4 linked regions of the Drosophila melanogaster genome follow. The gene in region 3 interacts genetically with the main gene of each other region. Each region holds a gene or a part of one and is shown on either strand. Other genes may lie near its edges.

Region 1 (3,993 bases), on a different chromosome or scaffold from region 3:
GAGCGAGCACACAACCGAACGCTTGCGTCGTCGGCGGCGGAATGAAGAAAACTGAATTATTTTCCACGAGCTGTTTTTGCGAAAAATCGCTCGCTCACTTGATGAGGGGCGCCTAATCGGAGAAGCAGAGCAACTGTTCTCTGCGGTAAACAAAAATTCACCTAGGCAACGCTCAGACAAGCGATGCGTCAAGGGTTTCCCATCAGCCAGGCTGATGATGCAGCTGCTCCAGGTCCAGTTCCTCGCGCAATCACATGATCCCGGGCGGGATTTTGTGTTCAAATTGAATGCTCTTCTAATTGATCAATTCCCAGAATTAGAAACTGAAGCATTCGGCGGTCCACTGCGCAATACCATCAATTGGTGGTTAGTCGGTGGCGATGACTTCCACCGCCTGCAAGTGGCCATATCCGCCGCAGCCACCAAAGCGAACTGTTCCAGTGCTCAATAGCCTGACCCCAACTTGACTCATCCGGCGAATTGTTCGCCGCTCCTGGCGCCGGCGCTTCCTCTTTTCATATTGCGATCAAAGGCCCGTCGAGTGGTTTCGGGTATATGTATGTGTTTGTATATTTTGACTGGACTCCGGCGAGGAGCAAAGGCCACGTGCATTGTGTTAGATGAGATGTATAAATGTAAAACTTACTCGTTAGTGGAAGATTCAATTCGATTAATTTAAATAACTACTAGCTAACCAATGGACACCATCACATTTTCAGAGGAGCAGCGTCGAGCGACATGGGCAGCACAGGTTCCGGCTGGTCGATGATCAGCTTCAGATTCTTGTCGGGCCACTCGAGCTCCAGTCGCTCCTTGGGCTCGCATTTCTCGTCTAGGCCCGCGCTGCGGAAGTCTTCCATCAGGCGCGGCACCAGTTCATCGGGAATCAGGACCTGAATCCAGTAGCCCAGCACGCCGTACGGTTCGTTCACTGTCACCGCCGAGCCGGTGACGGATTCCGCCACCAAAGTGAGCGCCAGATGCTGAGCCTTGAAGGTGAAGTGGCGCCCATGTCGGATGCGATCCTTGATGGCCAGTAGGAGGTACTTGGCCACACCAGGTGCGAGGGTAATCTCAATACCGTCCAGTGAAATGCAGTTTGGTGCCTGCGCTTGAAAGTCCAGGGGACAGGACTTGTGCAGCGAATTGCTGCTCATCGACATGGATTGTGGAAAGCTTGGTTCCTCGCGTTTCATTTGCGTATCCGTCAGCTGCCGATTGTTTTCGTCGTTGGCGCACTTCTCGCTCAGCGCCTGGAAATCCACCTCCTCCTTCACCTCCTTGGTAGGTTTCAGCTCACGGAACGTAAAATCTGCATTAACGCCGGCCAGATCGGAACCCTGCTTCTCCAGATCGTCCTGTAGGTTTAGCAGCGTTTCGGGAAACAGTTCGAAGACGCTCATCTGGCGATCCATGTTAGTCACCAGCCAATCACCGCCAGTTTGCATATCTTGGCGAAGGAAGTTGAGCACACCGCGCCCGTTCCAACGCGATGCCTGCTCAAGTTCGTCGTCAAAGACGCCGACGATCTGGCAGAAGTCCACCGTGCCCGTGGGAGTGTCGATGCAGCCCAACTGCGGGTCCTGGGCGACGAGCAGGTTCTGTAGCTTGGAAGTGGTACTGCCATCCAGACTCTTGCGCCACGGGATGTTGTCTCCGAAGCACAACCCGTTGCCTGTTTGAAAACAATAGCGTCCGATGGCCTGCAACAGGTTCGCCGGCCAGGTGGGCGGTCTTTGGGGCTTTTCCGGGTTCTCAATCTGCTGCTTTAGCTCTATTTCTGTTTTGGCCAAGCGAAAGGTCAACTCGAACCCCATGCCAGACCGAGTGACGCCCTCCTCGCGCAAGTGGACTCGCTCGTCCCCGTGTAGGTCGCTGAGTCCGAAACTAATGTAGTGCCAGTGCGGCGGAACGTTCCTATCCACATCTCCGGGATAGTTGTACATGCTAATGTAGTCCAACGGATCCTGACCGCCCAGCCAGTACTTGAGCAGTGTGGTCACCTGCAGCGGGTTCGGCTGGTTGGGGTACACCTGCCCGAGGTGGTCTATGATGGCCTTAAGGCCCGGCGGAGGCTTCACCTCAGGTTTTTTGTCCAAATTCGCCTCGGCCATTTCATCCAGTTTGATCAGTATGACCTCAGTTGGAACGTTGCGGAATACCACCGCTTGAATATACCATGAATAAAAATACTGCCATGTAAAGTGCGGATTTGACAATGGAAACTTACATGAGTTTCTTTTAAAACCATTATTTATTTTTAAAACCTTTTTTATAATAATTATTACTTTCTTACTTTTTTCTGCTTATTTTTAAAATGTAGAGAAAAACAGTGAAAATATATATCCATATAGCTTTAAACCACCACCATGTAAAATATTGAGTATTTCTTGCCGTGGTATATTTTTACATGCTGTTTATTTCTGCCAACCACCTACGGTCACCCTGTTGACCAACTATTTAATAGAAAATTTGCAAATTTTGATAAACGCACAAAATGGAGCCTTATGATGTCGTCGTCAACCAGCCCGTCGTCATAGATAACGTAAGTGGAGATGGGGCTCATTAAATGCGGGTAGCTTTGTGCAAATCTAGGGTTCCCAAAGTTTTAGCCAGCAAACAGTGACATCACCTACCGCCCGTCCCTTTGTCAACGAGCTTTCAAGCCGTCTTCAAATGGCCAACATGACTAATCCCAGAGAGAATAGCTCCGCAAACGCCAGAGATGGTTCAATTCGGAAGTGAAGACAGCGAAAACGGGGAATTTGGTCTATAAAGCTTGCGTGGAATCCCTTTATCTGCCCAGCACACGCACACACGGATATCTGCGGGCGGTGGCTGCATCCCTGCTGTTGCGTCCCTGCATCTGGAAGCCTCTGTCGAAGTCCATTTGGTGCCCGTACTCCATTGGGTAAACCACGGGAATAGACTCCACATGGGAGGCAGCGGGTCGCTTTAAGCGCTCCAGTTCGGGATCTATCTTCACACCACACTTGCCCCTGTATGTGCTGAACATCTTGGGGCGCAGCAGCTTGTTGTAGGGATCGCGGAATTGATCTCGGTACTTCTGGCACTCCAAATAGAAGGAGTCCACCTTGTACAAGCTGCCGTAGCTGATGTTGGTCAGTCCAACTGGCGGTGCGAACTTTAGTAGCGATTCCCGTTCGTATTGCGAATTCTTTGACACGGTCATCATGTCCACTTCCGGCACACTAAAGGATTCCATGTTGACTATATAGATTTCCTGTTTGCACGTTGAATTTTAAATAAAATAAGCTGACGCAACTAACTAAATGTATTCCACATCACTTTTGACAGGGCTCCGGTGTGATCAAAGCCGGCTTTGCTGGTGAGCACATTCCAAAATGCAGGTTTCCCAATTAGTAAGTGCCGTGGACCACTCACGAACCTTAAGAACCCCTAGAACTAATGCCTTCTCCTGCAGCATTGGCCGGCCCAAGCATGTCCGAGTGATGGCTGGTGCGCTGGAGGGCGACATATTCGTTGGACCCAAGGCGGAGGAGCACCGTGGCCTGCTTAGCATCCGGTACCCCATGGAGCACGGCATTGTCACCGACTGGAATGACATGGAGCGGATATGGAGCTACATTTACAGCAAAGTAATTTGTCCATAAATGTTCCATAATCTTAACTAAATGTTTTAAATGGCATTGACCAGGAACAACTGGCCACCTTCACGGAGGATCATCCCGTGCTGCTGACCGAGGCCCCGCTTAATCCGCGCCGAAACCGCGAAAAGGCAGCCGAGTTCTTCTTTGAAGGCATCAATGCACCTGCGCTCTTTGTGTCCATGCAGGCGGTGCTCAGTCTGTAAGCATTGCAATCTCACGAACTGCCCCTATCGATTTCATTTAACCACACTCTTGCAGCTACGCCACCGGTCGTGTGACTGGCGTAGTGCTCGACTCCGGCGACGGTGTGACGCATGCGGTTCCTATCTACGAGGGATTCGCCATGCCTCACAGTATTATG
Region 2 (4,267 bases), on a different chromosome or scaffold from region 3:
TATGCAACAGTAAAGAAAGTAAAAAGAAATACACAATGATTATACAATTGCAAATGCAACTTAACACTCAACATAAGGATAGTGAAAATGTGTGACAAATGATTAAATTACGAAATCCTTTTGAAGAGAAAACAAATGAAAATAAAATGTGAAATTTAAAATAAAATTAACATGGAATTTCTTTTTATTGATTCTCTTTTTGGCTTTCGGGGATTTCAGGTTTTGGAAAAAGGATTTTAAACAACGATTTTATTTTAAATTTCATCTTTTCCACTCGACGTTTTAAACAAACGTTGCCAGTGATGCCAGATGGTTTTTGAAATGTAACACACGATCTATACACGCCAGGTGGCGTGTTGCCCTCTGGAAGTTTCCACATGTGGAGACTTTTGAATTGTTTGGCGCGCTAGTTATATATATTTAAAAATAGAAGAAATTGCCAGCAATACATGTTGTTTTGGTTTTAGCCACCACATTTTGATTGCCACCACGTGAAATCTAGCAATTTCTATAATGCTTGCAACCCACTGACCCAGAAACGACACTTGATGTGTGTATAAGTAATTTTATTGTTTATAACATAATAGAATTGGTACTAAAACGTACTATGTCCTTACGGCGTATAAATCTATAAGTGTTCTACTAACTGATGTAACCTCCCCGTGTTGGAATGCCGAAAATGTGCTTTGCTTGAAAAATGGTTAGTTACTTTAAATTTATAATACCTCATTTATTTAATATTTTGTTTTGGGATTATTATGTATAAGATGTTGAGGCACCGATTCATGTGGCGGTAAACAAAACAACTTATGGAATTTGTGTAATGCTAAATAGCTAATAATCGATCAGTCTCCAACACGAAACGGGCTACACGGGCTGCTTTATGTGTGTGTGTGTGTGTGTGTTGTTCTCTTTCCTAATCCTATCCAGCGCTTGCATCCTCGGCCAATATCTACAGCTCTTCGCTTGGCACACTCACTAGCTTAGGGCTACAATTGGTTAGGCTAAGTTGTCTTACGAGTACGTACGGTAAATTAAATATAGGCCTTAACTAAAGTGATAACAATTATATGCGTGTGTGTGTGTGTGTGTGTGGCTGGCACAGCTCTAGCCTAGTTGGGCAGCAGCTCGGACAGCTGATTCTGCAGACTGGGTGCCAGTGTGTCGGGAAACTTAATGTCGAAGGAGACGATCAGATCGCCGCGCCTCGATGGCTCCTTGGGCACCGGCAGACCCAGTCCGTTGATCCGGCGCGTTGTGGTGGGCTTGATGATCTCGTGGTTCGGATTCACCTGTATCCTGCTGCCCTGCAGCGTGGGCACACTAACCAGTGCTCCGCACAAGGCCTGCTTCAGACTGATCTGGGCTGTATACTTTAGATCGATTCCCTCGCGTTTGAACAGCGAATGCGGTTTGTCGCGAATGATGAAGACGATGTCAGCTGGCGTCTTGTTTGGCGCCGAATCACCCTCTTGGGGGAAGGTAATCTTGGTACCGGCCTTCCAGCCCGGCTTCACTGTGATCCTCAGCACCTTCTCCTCCTTGTACGGCCCATTGCTTCCGGTGGCCATGCGTGAGATTTTCATCTTCTTGATGCATCCCTTGTCCACTTCCTCCAGCGACACGAACAGATCATGCTCGATGGGCGGATCCTGCTGGCGCTTGCGACTGGGTGCCTGGGCATTAAAGGCAAACATATCGTCGCCGCCAATGTTCCAGAAGATCTCGTTGGTATTGCCGCCCTGACCGCCACTAAACATGTTATCGCCGCCGGTAAAGAACGCGCCAAACGGATCCGACGATCCAAAGAACTGGGCAAATGTGGCCCTCGGATCGCCGTGGAACTGGTAAGTGTACGCTCCCGGCTGACCGCCGCCATCTGGTCCCGGCTGTCCGCCCTTCAATCCATCCTCACCGTAATTGTCGAAGATGTCGCGCTTCTTTTTGTCCGACAGCACCTCGTACGCCTCGGCGATCTCCTTGAAGCGCTCCTCCGCCTGTGGGCTCTTGTTCTTGTCGGGATGGTATTTGAGTGCCAGTTTGCGGTAGGCCTTCTTGATCTCATCGTCGCTGGCCTTGCGCTCGAGGCCCAGAATCTTGTAGAAGTCTTTGCCCATCTCTCAGCTGAAAATATAGGGGAAACACAAACGAACGAACGCTATAGATTAGAATGAATACTGATTGCCAGCTTGCTGGGTTGGGGCGATGGAAAGTGCTAGAAGCACAGAACAGCACAGTTGTGCAACTGCCGTGTTGTCACGCGAGTGACGTATGTAGTCACCATCAACGAGAGCTCCGCTCCCGATGTGCTTCTTTCAGCAGATCAAATCGATGCGCCCACATGTGGCAATATGTCCAACGAAGCTTACCTTAAATGTAAGCGATTGTCTGGGAATCCGTAAAAGTTCAAAAATCCAAGTGGAAAAGTGCAAAATGCAATGGCAAAGTGCAATTGTTGGTATTGTTCACTGTGTATTCACACTATTTATATTTTCACGGGGCAATGTTCTTTAAATATTTATGAGTTTTGTCTCTTTCTCGCAATTGATTCAATTCAATTGTTCTTCTTCGCTTTTTTCTTTATCCACCAAATGTGGCTTGCGCACTAAAAACACACCCTACTTCAGAGTTTCTTTCTCTTCAAAATTTTGTTTAATAATGAGCGGGATTCGTGCGTCAACCTCATTTTATAGGTTCGCCCTCGTCTACGTCGAAATTTCTGGATGCTTCTCGGATTTTAGGGTTGTATCTCGAAAACGTTTGACTGCGAATGTCAATATCGATATGCTAACCGATAGCTGTCGATGTTTTAAACACAGTGCACTGTTTTTAAATCGCTCCCCATTTATATATATTTGTGCATGCTTTTGGCGGTGACTCTTCTTTATATGCTTCTTATGCTTTTACGATTATTATTAGCGCTTATTTGATTGCAAATGCCAAGGAAAGCGTGACTGTGATGGCGAAATGCGGAAAGTACTCCTTAAATCTCATATATCGCATAAAACTATCGGTTCTGGAATGTTTCGTGTAAGTCTGCGAAGATAGAGATCGATCTATTTTGAGGATACATTTGTTAATATTATAAGGGATTCTTCTACAGGGGTCAGATTGCTTAAAAACACACAGAAAAATAAACAAAATATTTCTTTGAAATATTGAAATATTTGAAATAGAAAAAACGTATTGACGAGGTAAGCATATTGTAAAAAGATAGGAAGGTGATGGAGAAAGTTGCACTTATATTGTTCAACCAAAGAGCTTATAATCAAAAGATCAATAGATATAAATATCTTTATATGATATAAAATATAATACATATAATATATTATAATATACAATGTATAAATTGCAAGTGTCAAATTGAATTCTTAGTGTAATATTCAAGCCAACGAAAAGTAACTGAAAGTTGAAATAAATAAATTTTTAAACTTTGCCAGTGTGACCGTAAGACCAAGACTTGGGCATTGCCACAGCTGCAATGCGTTTAGTATTTTACAGTCAGCGGCGGGCAGTCACACCGGAACGAGCACGTCTGGTAAAACAGCCGAACGGAACAACAAAAAACAATTGTAAAAATGACCCGTCGAGGCTCGTTTTAAGCGAATTTCTAGCGCAGTCAGGACGCAGGAGCAGCCGAGCAGGCCGGGATTAGGACCGGAGGAGCAGGATCATCGGGAGAGTAGAGCCGAAACCCACACTCACACACAAACGCAGCCGTATACCGCAGTATTTTCATACACACACACACACTTGAGGTGAGTGAGACGGAGGTACACACACATGCACACATACAGAGAGAAGAAAACAAGGCGCCCCACGAATTTTTGCAAAATATGGACGCGCCTTGCTAGGGACTAATTGCCAGCGCGAAGGACAACCATTGGGGCCACTTTTTGGGCCAAACTCCGGCCGACATATGCGTGTCACGTTCCACAGTCGAAGCCTTGACCGATCGCCCCGCCCACCGTTCACCGCCCCATCGCTGGAAGTATTGCGCAAACGAATGTGACCCTTAACCCTTGCCCCCCCCCCCCCTTCCACAAAGAATATCCTTTGGCATGGCGCCTGTTCAAAGGATGTCCCACTGCAGCAATGCAGCATTGTAGCAGCGACGGCAGACCCATAAAAATAGTCATTCATTCCCGCAAATAGAGAGCTGGCACATCGAAGAGAGCATACGGTCGACATTAATAGCACTTTCGCTGTAAACCCAAACATATCGCCTATATTCATTGAGTAATCCGTCTGGGTTCTAGGGACCCAA
Region 3 (6,604 bases):
CCAGCTTGGAGTGCGCTCGTGTGGCTTCGATGGTCAACGTGCTGCCCCATTACTTTCCCACGCTACCCATCGCCTATGTGGATGCCTATGAGTTTGGTCGTTTCAATGCAGAATTCGGCATCGTTTCGCTGCCCACACTGATGCTATTCCACCAGGGCAGGCCGCTAATCAAATTCGAGCCCGGGTGGAAGGACACAAAGAGCAGCTTTGCCAGTTTCATAATGAGTCACACCAATATGAAGACTGTGAATCCGCAGGCCATTGATCCGATCATCCTCACTCGCGCAGAGATGGAGCCGCTGTCTAATAAACCCATTGTGCAGACGGATTACTATTTGGGCCTGGCTTGGGCCTTTATTCTCGTCTGCCTTGCCAACTTCCTGCGTAAGACGGCGCTCTGGAAGCAGCTGGTAGAGATGGTGCAGCGCATTTGGCGGGAATCCGAGGAGACGCAAATGGAGATGGTGGACTAGTTAGTTAATACGTTTAATTCTCTATAAGTCGCATAAGTAGAACACTGGATTTACTATTATAATGTAATTACCATTTAATTAAATTCACGTTAACATTTACTTAGGCCTTACGAATTACATGTATTTGGGGAATTGGTAATTGTTGTTTTCTATCGTTCGGAGCCTTCAAATCAATTGTGTTCATTTGCACGCTAACTGGCATCCATAATTTAAAGCTTAGTGGCTAACAAAATCTAAAAACTTGAGAATTAATCAAATAATTCAAACTTATAATTACGATTTCATATATATTCCATTACTTTCATTGAATTTTTCGATTAGGTCTGAGAGTGTGTGTTGTAATGATTTCGGCGTTGAATAGTCACATTTGTTTTAAGTAAATTTAAGCAAGTTGTTCTGTATCCTGCGTGCACATCAATAGCATCTTGAAGTTGTACATTTTTTAGTGTTGCATTCTGGTCGACTCACGCAGGATAAGACAGAACTGGTAAAGAATTGTGTTTGTTAAAAAATATTTGAATTGGTTTTCCTGCTATGGAACAGAACCCAACGCTTTGCTTCCTAGTGTTTTTGAGTGTGCGATGCGGAAGATGTTGGCATACAGATGATCACGTTTCTACTACTTCTTCTTGCCGCGCTTGACCGCCTTGTAGGAGCTGGCCGCTTCGTCCTCCGTGTGAAAATGTTTTACGGCACGTTGTTGGCGCCTCGGATTGGCGGCATAGGGATGTGGATGTATGCTGCTGGCGGAGCAGAAACAAATGTTCATTAATTAACAGAAACGATTAATTAGAATAAGGCACAATACAAAACAAAAGGTATACATAATAATCATTCGTACACAGGCCAATTCGAACGCAAGTGAAAATTTATTAACAGGAAGAGAAGGTCAAAGGGAGCATTAATGGATGATGTGGGCAAGCGAGTGATGGATTCGTAGGATTCGCGCATTATGTCGTTCAGTGGTGGCGCAGCAACAGCAGCAGCAACATAGTTCAAATTTTGATTATCGTCGATGGCCAATTGGGCGTCGCGTAGTGTGGTGGTATATCGTCGAGTGTGGCTCTCGCAGATTGCGGTCTACATGCTATACGGATAGGCAGGCGATGCTCTTTCGGGCGGGTCAAAATGCGAGTATGCAGACAGAGAGTTAGATGTGTATGGGAAGGTGCGGCCTTACACGTAGCTTGCGGCCATAGTCTTGAGCTGCCGGCACGGCACGTAGATGTGGTGTTGCTGCTGTTCGAAGTTCGAAGTACTTGTGGCGATGAAGCGGAGCTGAGCTGAGCGGATCGTAGCGTTGGTGGCGCCTTCGGTTAGTAGAGTGCATGTAGTTACGTCGAAGACAGCCGAATGTCGAGTGTTTCTCGTTGTTGACTTTATTACTTATGATATTTATCTGGATTAGCATAGGTTTCATTTTATGTATTTGGTACTGTATCCGCTCTACTTGCGGTGGTACCGCGAATTATAAATACGCCAATCTCTGCATGATTTGGAAAGTACAAAATGTTGATGGAGAAGAGAAGAGAGAGCGATATGTCGTTAATACACTTGGGTAAATGGTATATTAGAAGATCAAGATCGTTGCTACCCATGAAGTCGAGTTCGAAAAGAATAAGCAGTATTGGTTTCAATAAATCATTAACGTTGTTGTTACAAAAGCGTTGTCAACCATTTGTCGGACCACAAAACCCCGGCATCAAACTTCGGCTGTCCGAAGACGTTTTTCGGTTAGGACTATACAAGCAGATAGAAATGAGGTTCGAAGCTGACATAGTCTATGTAACTAGGTTAATCCCGTATTGCCGGCTCCTGCCGATCCCAACTGAACAAACCTTGGAGAAGTGGACACCGTAGCCAGCGGCGAGGATGGGGGTGTCCTTAGTGGGCGGCGCGGCGTGGCCAGGCTATGCCCATGCCCATTTCGCAGGTACGAACGACGAGAGCTCACGTAGTTATTGTTGTTTCCGTTGCTTGTATCGTAGGTTGTTGGCGAGGATGTTGGTGTTGGTGCTGCTGCTGTTGCAATGTTGCCACTGCGTCGATGTCGTAGGTAGTTGTCGTAGTATGGAATCGAGTCGAAGAAAAGTTGAAAAAGATTACAACAATACTTTTGGGGGTCTGGGACTATGCTAGTTGGCGATCCAGTTCATTCAACGCGAAGCATTTGTACGTCGTGAGTGGGTGAGAGATCATGGCGAACGAAATAAGTCGTGGGCAAAACGAAAACTGAACAAACGAAAGATGTTGAGAGCTTAAGTTGCCGCCTACCTCTGTGCATTCTATGATTTCGATTCGATATTCGTTTCGTTTGAACGCAGTTGGGAATGTAATTAGCAGAAATTTATAGTATGCAATTCTGTTTCTGTTTTATCGGATAGTTAGTAAAATATACTGTATTGACTTTAGATTTAGTAATTATATCTGCAAGTAAATACAAACGTTTCAATTTAGCAACAGTTGTGTGAGGAGGAGGTGTGGTTAGTTGGGGGAATCTTCGGATCGGGCGGGCTTCAGCAAATGCTAGTCGGCTAATCCTACACAATCACGCGCACGGAACAGGGATTCGGGTGTAGATGTGACGTTAATCCCTTCTCACTCACCTGTTCTGCGGTGCCGTTGGCGCACTGGAATAATGGCGGCCCGCGGAGGAGCGAACCGGTTGCTGCTCCTGGATTACACAGTCATCATCATCGTCGTCGTCGTCCTCCACTGGCTCAATGGTCAACGTCGAGGTGTGTGCCGCTGGACGGGCGGGCATGATGGCCTGCATGCCACCAGCATGATGTCTTGACTGCACCGCTCCGCGACTAGCGCGCGATGTAAACTCCCTGTCAAACTGCTCGGCTTCTCCCTCCTCCAGATTAATGAACTCCTGGCGCTCCTCCAGTTGTCCTGAGCGCATGTCCTGCTCTTTCTCAATAATGTGTGCCCGCTCGCCGATGTGATGACCAATGGCCATCTTCTTCACCCCAGTGCGCGAGTCCTGCACCGTCCTGCGGGTCTCACGAACGCCTCCCGGTCCTGTTTTGGTACTAGTGCTGGCCTGGTAGATCTGAGGACGCCCATCGGGACCCGATGACATGGTCATCACGGTGCTCTGGCAGAAGGATGCGCCTGAATTGCCACCAATATCTGAAATACAATGGTTTTGTATGGTGCTCTTAACGGCGAAAGACCATTGAATACTCACCAGCGTTCAACAGGCGATTAAAGTTTGGCATCATGGGCATGCCGAAGAGGCCCATGGCTGGCATGGCCGGCATCTGCGGACGCTCCATGAGAGCGTTCTGCTGGAATCCCTGGTCAAAGGGCGAGACCTGCATGAAGGGATCGGGCATAAAGCTGTTCATCAGGCGATTCATCGAGCGCATCTGCATGTTCATCGCGTTCATAGTGTGGTTCATGTGGTTGCTGCAAACGAAAGATGAGTAACTTAGTGATACTTGACTGATGTGCGAGTTACTGGAGCTCCATTTGTGAACGGTTTGATTTGCTTTTACGTTTTTGTTTCATTTTAAACTGAGCCGAAATTAAGTTTTAAACAAAGCCAAACTAAATGACTTGTGGCCAAATATCGCAGTATAGTGATAAAGGCAGCGTAGCCTACGTATATACATAAAATAGGGTCTGATAGCCTGCCTTTACATGGGTCACTTTGCGGTTGGGCCTTATCAAAAGTCCCAGTGACAGGGCGAAACCTTTGAAATAACGCCTGCTAGTGCATTTTCCCCAATTCCATTTCCCTGCGGTCGCTCGATTCAAATTATCGATTATTACGTCTTCACTTCACGCATGCTGCGCACACACACACACGCACACTCCGATGGTTACTGTTAATTTTGGCACGCTATTTATTGCTAATTTTTGGGCACGTAAATATGTTTAATTGGCCTAATTGTGTGCCTATGGGCCAATTAATGATTTACACCTTGTTTTGCGATTATTTGGCTGTTTTTCCACGCCCCAAGAGGGCTTCGTTAGCTGCACACGTATGGAAATATATGGGGCTTCTGCGGGGCGAGCCGCATTTATTTAGTTTTTTTTTGCGCCATTTGGTACTTACTTCATAAGGCCGAGATCGTCGTCGAAATCACCCATCAACGCTCCGAATAAAGACATTTTTGTGGATTGTGTTGGCTTTCTGTTGCTCGAATTTTCTTCTTTCCGTATGCAGAATTTTCACGAATATTTTCTTTGTCAGTGTGGCTGAATCTTACTGGCTTAAATACCAGCGACGTCTACCACGAAAGTATATACTAGCTCTAAAAAATACCAGAAGCCGTTAATATTTAAAAACAAAATCTTCCTAATTATTTTAAATTTTTAAGATTTAAACAAATGTAATCTTACTCGAATACGTTAAACTATCTGCAAACGGTAAATTTCTAATATTGTGGATATTATTTGATTGCATCAAGTCAAATATAAATGTCACAAATAAATAATAATGATACTTCAAGCCACATTTACATATTTTATAATTTTAATTTCTGCATTGAGTTATTCTAAAATGATGCAATCAAACGATTTTGTAAAGTATAAAATTTATGGTTAGTTACATTGTACTTTTTCCCTTCCTCAAGATAAATTGCCTTCACCTATGCCAATTGGGTAATAATTTTATTTTTATATAAATCGTCGAGAATGGCTTATAGATTCCAATGTAATGGTCAGATAAAAAAGGTTTTTGATTAGGAAAACCAGTTGAAATGAAGAGTTAAACACCGTATATTAATTTGTAAATATATTATAAACCATGTTTTCTAAATGCTCATTTCATATTTATTATTGTGGTAAAATAATAATTTGTTCGATTTATTTGTTCGCGTTGTGCTTGTGAAGCTATCCACATTTTTAGAGATACGCCTCCGCCTGCTCTTCGATCCAATCGATATGGGAATTGACGCTGGTGTAGACACCCGGGAATCCTTCCCTGCCGCAACCCACGCCCCAGGACACCACACCCACCAGGACTCCGTCCACGGCCAAGGGTCCACCGGAATCGCCGTTGCAGGTGTCCTTGCCGCCCTCCAGATAGCCGGCGCAGAGCATCTCATCGGTCACCGTGTAGTCCTTGGTCAGATACTGGGCACCGCAGGTGCTCTTCTCGATGATCTGCAGCTCAACGGCGCGCAGCATGGCGGGCAGAGCTTCATCATCTTCAGCCCGCTTGCCCCAACCACTTACAACGGCCTGGGCACCCGACGGCGGTGCCTCCAGGGCCACAGCAATGGGTTGCACCAGGGCTGAGTACTCCAATGGCTCGCGAGTGATGATCAAACCGATATCATTCACATACGTTTTCTTATTGTAGCCGGCATGGGGGATCAGTTTGCTGACCTTAACACCCTGCTCCTCCAGATCGGCAATCGAGTTCTGACCAGCCACGATCCGGATGTACGAGGCATAGCGTCCCTTGATGCAGTGGGCGGCGGTGATGACGACCCGTGGTGCATAGATGCTACCACCGCAGATGTGGAGCAGCATGTAGGTCTCCAGGCGAACGGACACCTGGTACGGAAAGTCAGCGATGTCCGCCTGATCGCCACCAACAATGTGGGTGCTTATGGAGGCGGAATCCGTGAGAATTACCACACCAAGTGCAGCCAAAAGAAACAAACCCAAACGTAGCGACATGGTTAAACTTAAAGTGTGGTTCGATTTAGGTCTCTTATATAGGGCTGGAGTAGCCAGCTTATCACTTATCACCAAAATGGCGAATTTAGCGATCATCCATGATTGGTATTTTGGATTTTCATAAACTTCTGCTATGATATCGTAAAGTTTATACGACTTGCAGCTCAATTCGTTTTATATCCATTATAAACTGGGCGGTGGTCTTCTAAAGACCCAAATGGCCAGAAAGCCAACTGGCCAGAAAGTCAACTGACCAAAAAGTCAACTGGCCAGCTAAGGAGAACACAAATGGGGATTATCAGCAAAGCGATCCGTTGAGTCATCGATCGACTCTATTTCATTTGCCACTGAACTTTAATCGTCCCGAATGACGAAGGCGTCTAGTCGATGGCTGTAATCTCAATCTCCATGTGCTCCATGGAATCGTGTCTTCAGATAAGTGGTGTTGGAAAAGCAGGCTGAGATTTATTTACCATATTAATCGGTGG
Region 4 (4,911 bases), on a different chromosome or scaffold from region 3:
CATTTTCGTTTGCTTACCTTCCAGAATCGTTGGCTTATCATTGGGCGCCGCTGTGGCGGTAGATGCATCGGCATTTCCAGTGGCGGCGCTATTTCCAGCAGCTGATTTGTTGTTGGCGGATCCTCCCCCTGTGGCAGCACCACTACCACCGCCGCCAACCCCTCGGCCGTCCATCTTCTTGGTGGAATTGCGCGTTCTCTTCCACTTCTCCAGCTTAACGGGATTTCAGACAGCGATTAACTTTAACGCGCACTTCGCGATCGCGGAAAAACTCGGAAAAACAAGAGATTCACTGCGTTGCGAAATTGTTTGTGTTTAAAACGGGTGGCTGCACTCACATAGGGGAAAAACGGCTGTGGAAATTTTAGTACGTTTTTTATCAACACCATGGACTAGTTGGGCTTCCGAACATGGTGTGTGCCCTCACTGTTCAGTGGTGGCGCAAACCATAGATGACCATAAAAATGAAATTCAAATGTACTGTGTATAAAATAATAGTTATGCATACAGTCTCGTTTTATTATACGGAATTAGCAATTAAGTAAATTTTAAATTTTAAGCTACACAGGCAGTACAGCATACTAATACAATATTAAAGGAAAAAACGCTTTTGAGGTAGTTTTGAAAGTATTTGAGAGCAATTGAAATGCTTAATTTTAATCACTTGATAGCACTTCTGAAATTAAATAGCATAGACATTTGATTTTCTCGCAATTTCTGCCCTCGCAGATAAGCTGACGTTCTTCTCACGCTATTATATTCCCAGCGATAAGAACTATTTCCCTTCGATGTGATAAGTCGGAGGTAAATTTAAAATAAACACTTTTTAAAATCATAAGAACTCTGCGTTGTTATTTTAATTCGATATCAGTATTTCGACCACAAACCAAGGCTGAACCACAAAATATGGCCCAATGATAGTCTCTTATCACGCCTTTCCTTCGCTAAAAAGAACACATGTCATTTGGAATCCTTGTTTTCTTTGCGCTAGCAACAACACACAGTTTTTAATTAACACTTTTTGCGATAATAGCAGATTTGATAAGCATGTTAAGTATCAGTTTTAAAGTAGATTCTCTGATTTTCATCTCTAATATCCAAAATGTATCTATATGAATACAATTTTCCATAAGTGCGTTTTAAATACATGTATGTTAAATTTTAAATAAAATAATAAAAAAAAAAACACAACTTATTTATTTTCTCATGAAAATCTAATCATATCCAGCTCCTAAATATTTTCGAAATTTCCCGGCTGAACAAGAGCGCCGCTCTTAAGTCGTCACGCTCTCAGCTGATTAAAGAGAGCGCGCTTAAATGCGATTCCAATTGGAAGTGGTTGCAGCCGGTGGTGGATGAAAATGTGTCCACCAATGGCGCGCCTCAAATGCCATGTCCACCTGACCAATCAGAATCCGGGGGCGGTGCCAAGTGCAAGGGAAACGCAGGAGCGAGCGAGAGGGAGAGCAACTGTTTATTTGATTAAGCATTTAAATTCTATTATTTTTAGCGAAATTTATTAAAAATTTGATGCAACAGCACTGCGTGGAATGGTGACTTGTCACAATGCACATACTAGGCCATGCATTTACAGAAGAGCAAGAGAGAGAGAGAGAGAGAGAGAGCGAGCAACTTAAGAGACCCAAAACGCCCCGGCCAAAGAGAGTCGTTCTCGTTCCAATTGGCTCGCGAGGCAAGTGGAAAAACGATTGGATTCGACTCAGAGCCGAGCTCAATCGTCTCGCGAAATTCAAGCGGCGCAGTCAAAAGTTAAAAGTCAGTTTCAGTTATGTTTTGGAGTACGACGCGCGAGCATTATTGTTTCCATTGTTAGCGAAGTTTTTAATCGACTGAAAGAAACACAAGAAAATAACACCTCGCTTACGTGTTAACCCTTTTTTTTTGTAACTTGTGCTTAAGTCACTTAAAGAAATACCGAAGAAAGTAAACTAAGTGTGTGTGTAAGTGTTAAACAAAGTAGTAAACAAAAAGCGCGCCAAAATCGGCTAACTTTTAGTTATTAACTCGAATTTCGTCACCAACTAAATTTAAACAAAAGAGCGACACAGTTTCGCCAGAAACTTGCATTCAAACATATTGTTAAACAGTTTTACATTAAACTAAACACAAACCAAAGTGCTATTAAGTGCAGTTAGTAACAAAATAAAAGTGATAAATGGTGACACAAACGAATTAAGGCAATGTTTTTATGACAAAAACTTAAGTTCATATTTTTTAAGGCTTTATTTTGCGACTGTGAAATAATTTGTTTACTTTGTTGCTTGTTCTCAAACAAATAATATACAATAGTAATTGTAAAAGCTTCTTATACATTGTTTGAATAAACAAATAACTGACTCTTTTACAACCATTTATGATTACTTGGGAGATCAGTTGTGAACATTAAATGTTTATATTGTACTATATTGTTTTTACACCGATTCCCAGAAATATCATCAAAGTTAAACTCGAGAAAAGGAGGCCCGTCTGCGAATCGGGAGTCAAACATAGAGTATTACTAATTAGCCGAGTGAAGTGCAAACAATAAAAATATCCAAATCAAACGAAATCAAATTTAATTAAGTTCAGAAATCATCTGGCAAAAGCATGCTCAAAAAAGAGAAAGAAAAAACAACAATAGCAACAAATGCACCGCTAATTCCTGTGACTAATTTATCAAAGTGCGAACTAGCAAAATGTCGATCGTCGTAGTACTCGCAGTTATTTAATATGTATTCAGAAAGGCAAACATATTTTTAATCATTTTTTAAATTTATATATATTGTTTTTTGCAATTATTTCTTTATTTAAACGTACGCCAGTGAACTGTTTCTATATGTACTTTAATTAAATTGCTTAATATGAAACAAATTTGAGATGTTGTCATGGATTGTTTTTAATGAATCGATCGGCATTTTAAGTTTTCAATTAAACACGAATCTTTCTCATATCGTAAGTGCAATTGCAAACAATTGTTAAGTACGCTTTTTTTTTTCTGTGAATTCGTTTAGAGATTAGAGTTTATTGATGAGTGAACAAAAGACACCGCCGGAGCGAAGTGTGATAAGCGCTTGACCTGCGACCCGCACACACTGCAAGAAAAAAAGGGGCAAGCGAGCGGATCAAAGGTCACCGCCGTCGACGAATGCATTTGCATCTCCTGGCGGCAGAGAAGACGCCTCCATCTCCATCTCCAAATCCAACTCCAACTCCATCAGCATCTCCATCTGGGCATACGGGCGCTGCTGGGGAGTCGCAATTGGACTTGGCATCGCAAACGGAATCGCAATTGCAGCTGGGCTTGCCATTGGCTTCCGGATACGGACTCGGACTCGGATTGGGACTGGGCTTGGGATTGGGACTGGGCCAGGAATTGGTGGCGGACCACAGCACCACTGTGGCGCCCGTCAGCGTTGCCGGTCCCGGCCGCCTGGGTCGCAGCATCAACGGCAGCGGCGGCAGCCACCACCATCACCACCTGCACCACCACTACTCACCGTACCACCACGCCCACCCCTACCACCCACCGCATCCGCACGCGCCCCACCACCACCACCACCACCACCCACCGTATCCGTATCCGCCGGCAGGACCACATCCGCCGGCCATGGTCACATCGTCATCCACATCGCCGACGGGCAACGGCTGGAGCAGCTCCACCGGCGACTTCAAGGGCATCACAGCGGTGGCGACGGCCACTGGCGGCGGCGTAGGTGGTGCCACCCAGGGCGCCACTGCATCCACGGGCGCCACAGCCGCTGAGGTTTTGGCCGTTTCGAGTAGTGCCAGTGTTGGCAGCAGCTCGCCCACAGGTGGCGCCAGCAATGGTACAGCCCATAGTGGGCATAGTGGACACACCGGCGGTCACAGCAGTAGTACCGCCAGCAACAACAACAACAACGGTGCCAGCAATAGCAATAGCAACAATAACAACGCCGTTCACCAGGATCTATTGTGGATGGAGCGATTGGTACAGAAGCGACAACAGGAACATCCCGGCGAATTGGGTGAGTTGTTGGTGGGATATTACCAATAACCTAGTAGTAACACAGTCTGCAAAAGGGTTAAGGATTAATAGCTACCTTAATGTCCTTCAAAATCAAAGTGAATATGAAGATATAGTCTAACTGGATTTGTAATTTCCCGTGAACAAAATTGATTGAACAGAGGGATTTAGCTTACTAACTGTAAATAGCAAATTCTTTGCTACCAGATTCCCAATATGATCTATGGTTCTTGATATAATATATCTTATGAATATAAGATTGATAGATAGATATATATATCAAGGCAAGCCTCTGCGGAGACAGCTCTTCCATTCACAAGGTATCAGCATCTTTAGCTCGTGTCGAGGGGATCTGGTGGATGCTTTGCAGGTCTGTTCGATAATCCGATCCCCGAAAGGTGGAGCGCACATTCTTGCCACATCCTTGCACAATGCACTTCTGGGGCTTCCACATCGTGGCAATCACGATCATCGGACGCAGCCTTATCGGATTCCATGGGTATGATGATCGTGATGATGATACCGATGGCGATGATGATGGTGATGCCAGTGAAGATGGGACTGGCATCGCCGTCGGAATATGCGTAAATTGATATCAATAATTGTTATTGATATCAACGCACGAGTCGTTCCCCTTTTTTATTTTGTTAATGCCACCTTTTTTTTTTTTTTCTTATTCCTTGCTGCCCGTTGAACTTTCCTCCCGATTTATCAATGATATCAATGACCCAGAGCGAAAGCTGCTAATGAAATCTCAGCTCATCGCACCGTCAGTCTTGAAATTAGCTGGGGAATCCGCAAACTGGTTATCCTATATGATTTTTTTTTTCACTTCTGAGTCCTTTCATAACTTGTGCTCAATGGATAGCCTTCATATCGAATTGCAACTATCAGGACTTTACACT

The links.
Region 1: of Mlf (region 3) and Su(fu), changing one enhances a phenotype caused by changing the other (phenotypic enhancement), as found in Drosophila melanogaster (one study listed by BioGRID).
Region 2: of Mlf (region 3) and DnaJ-1, changing one enhances a phenotype caused by changing the other (phenotypic enhancement), as found in Drosophila melanogaster (one study listed by BioGRID).
Region 4: of Mlf (region 3) and lz, changing one suppresses a phenotype caused by changing the other (phenotypic suppression), as found in Drosophila melanogaster (2 studies listed by BioGRID).

The regions. Positions count from the first base shown.
Region 1 is NT_033777.3:12,689,325-12,693,317, forward strand, and holds Su(fu) (suppressor of fused), read right to left. Parts: upstream 2,145-3,993; 5' UTR 2,115-2,144; coding exon 708-2,114; 3' UTR 549-707; downstream 1-548. Other genes in the region: Arp1 (Actin-related protein 1), read left to right, coding at 2,498-2,545, 3,319-3,383, 3,446-3,620, 3,680-3,831, 3,891-3,993; CG31347 (uncharacterized protein), read right to left, coding at 2,795-3,226.
Region 2 is NT_037436.4:5,749,477-5,753,743, forward strand, and holds DnaJ-1 (DnaJ-like-1), read right to left. Parts: upstream 2,714-4,267; 5' UTR 2,118-2,713; coding exon 1,113-2,117; 3' UTR 553-1,112; downstream 1-552.
Region 3 is NT_033778.4:15,935,368-15,941,971, forward strand, and holds Mlf (Myelodysplasia/myeloid leukemia factor), read right to left. Parts: upstream 4,707-6,604; 5' UTR 4,599-4,706; coding exon 4,543-4,598; intron 4,468-4,542; exon of another isoform or gene 4,408-4,467; intron 4,084-4,407; exon of another isoform or gene 3,993-4,083; coding exon of another isoform or gene 3,943-3,992; intron 3,891-3,942; coding exon 3,670-3,890; intron 3,612-3,669; coding exon 3,080-3,611; intron 2,901-3,079; coding exon of another isoform or gene 2,888-2,900; exon of another isoform or gene 2,748-2,887; intron 2,513-2,747; coding exon 2,312-2,512; intron 1,960-2,311; coding exon of another isoform or gene 1,920-1,959; exon of another isoform or gene 1,327-1,919; intron 1,217-1,326; coding exon of another isoform or gene 1,214-1,216; coding exon 1,093-1,213; 3' UTR 526-1,092; downstream 1-525. Other genes in the region: bug (bunker gear), read left to right, coding at 1-473; CG8299 (uncharacterized protein), read right to left, coding at 5,334-6,116.
Region 4 is NC_004354.4:9,282,776-9,287,686, forward strand, and holds the start of lz (lozenge), read left to right. Parts: upstream 1-1,873; 5' UTR 1,874-1,961; intron 1,962-3,011; 5' UTR 3,012-3,145; coding exon 3,146-4,007; intron 4,008-4,911. Other genes in the region: c11.1, read right to left, coding at 18-174. UniProt on the Drosophila melanogaster protein: Involved in prepatterning photoreceptor precursors in the developing eye; in the larval eye disk it defines a subset of cells as an equipotential group that is competent to respond to the sevenless developmental signal and another subset that confer proper photoreceptor identity by positively regulating the homeo box gene Bar.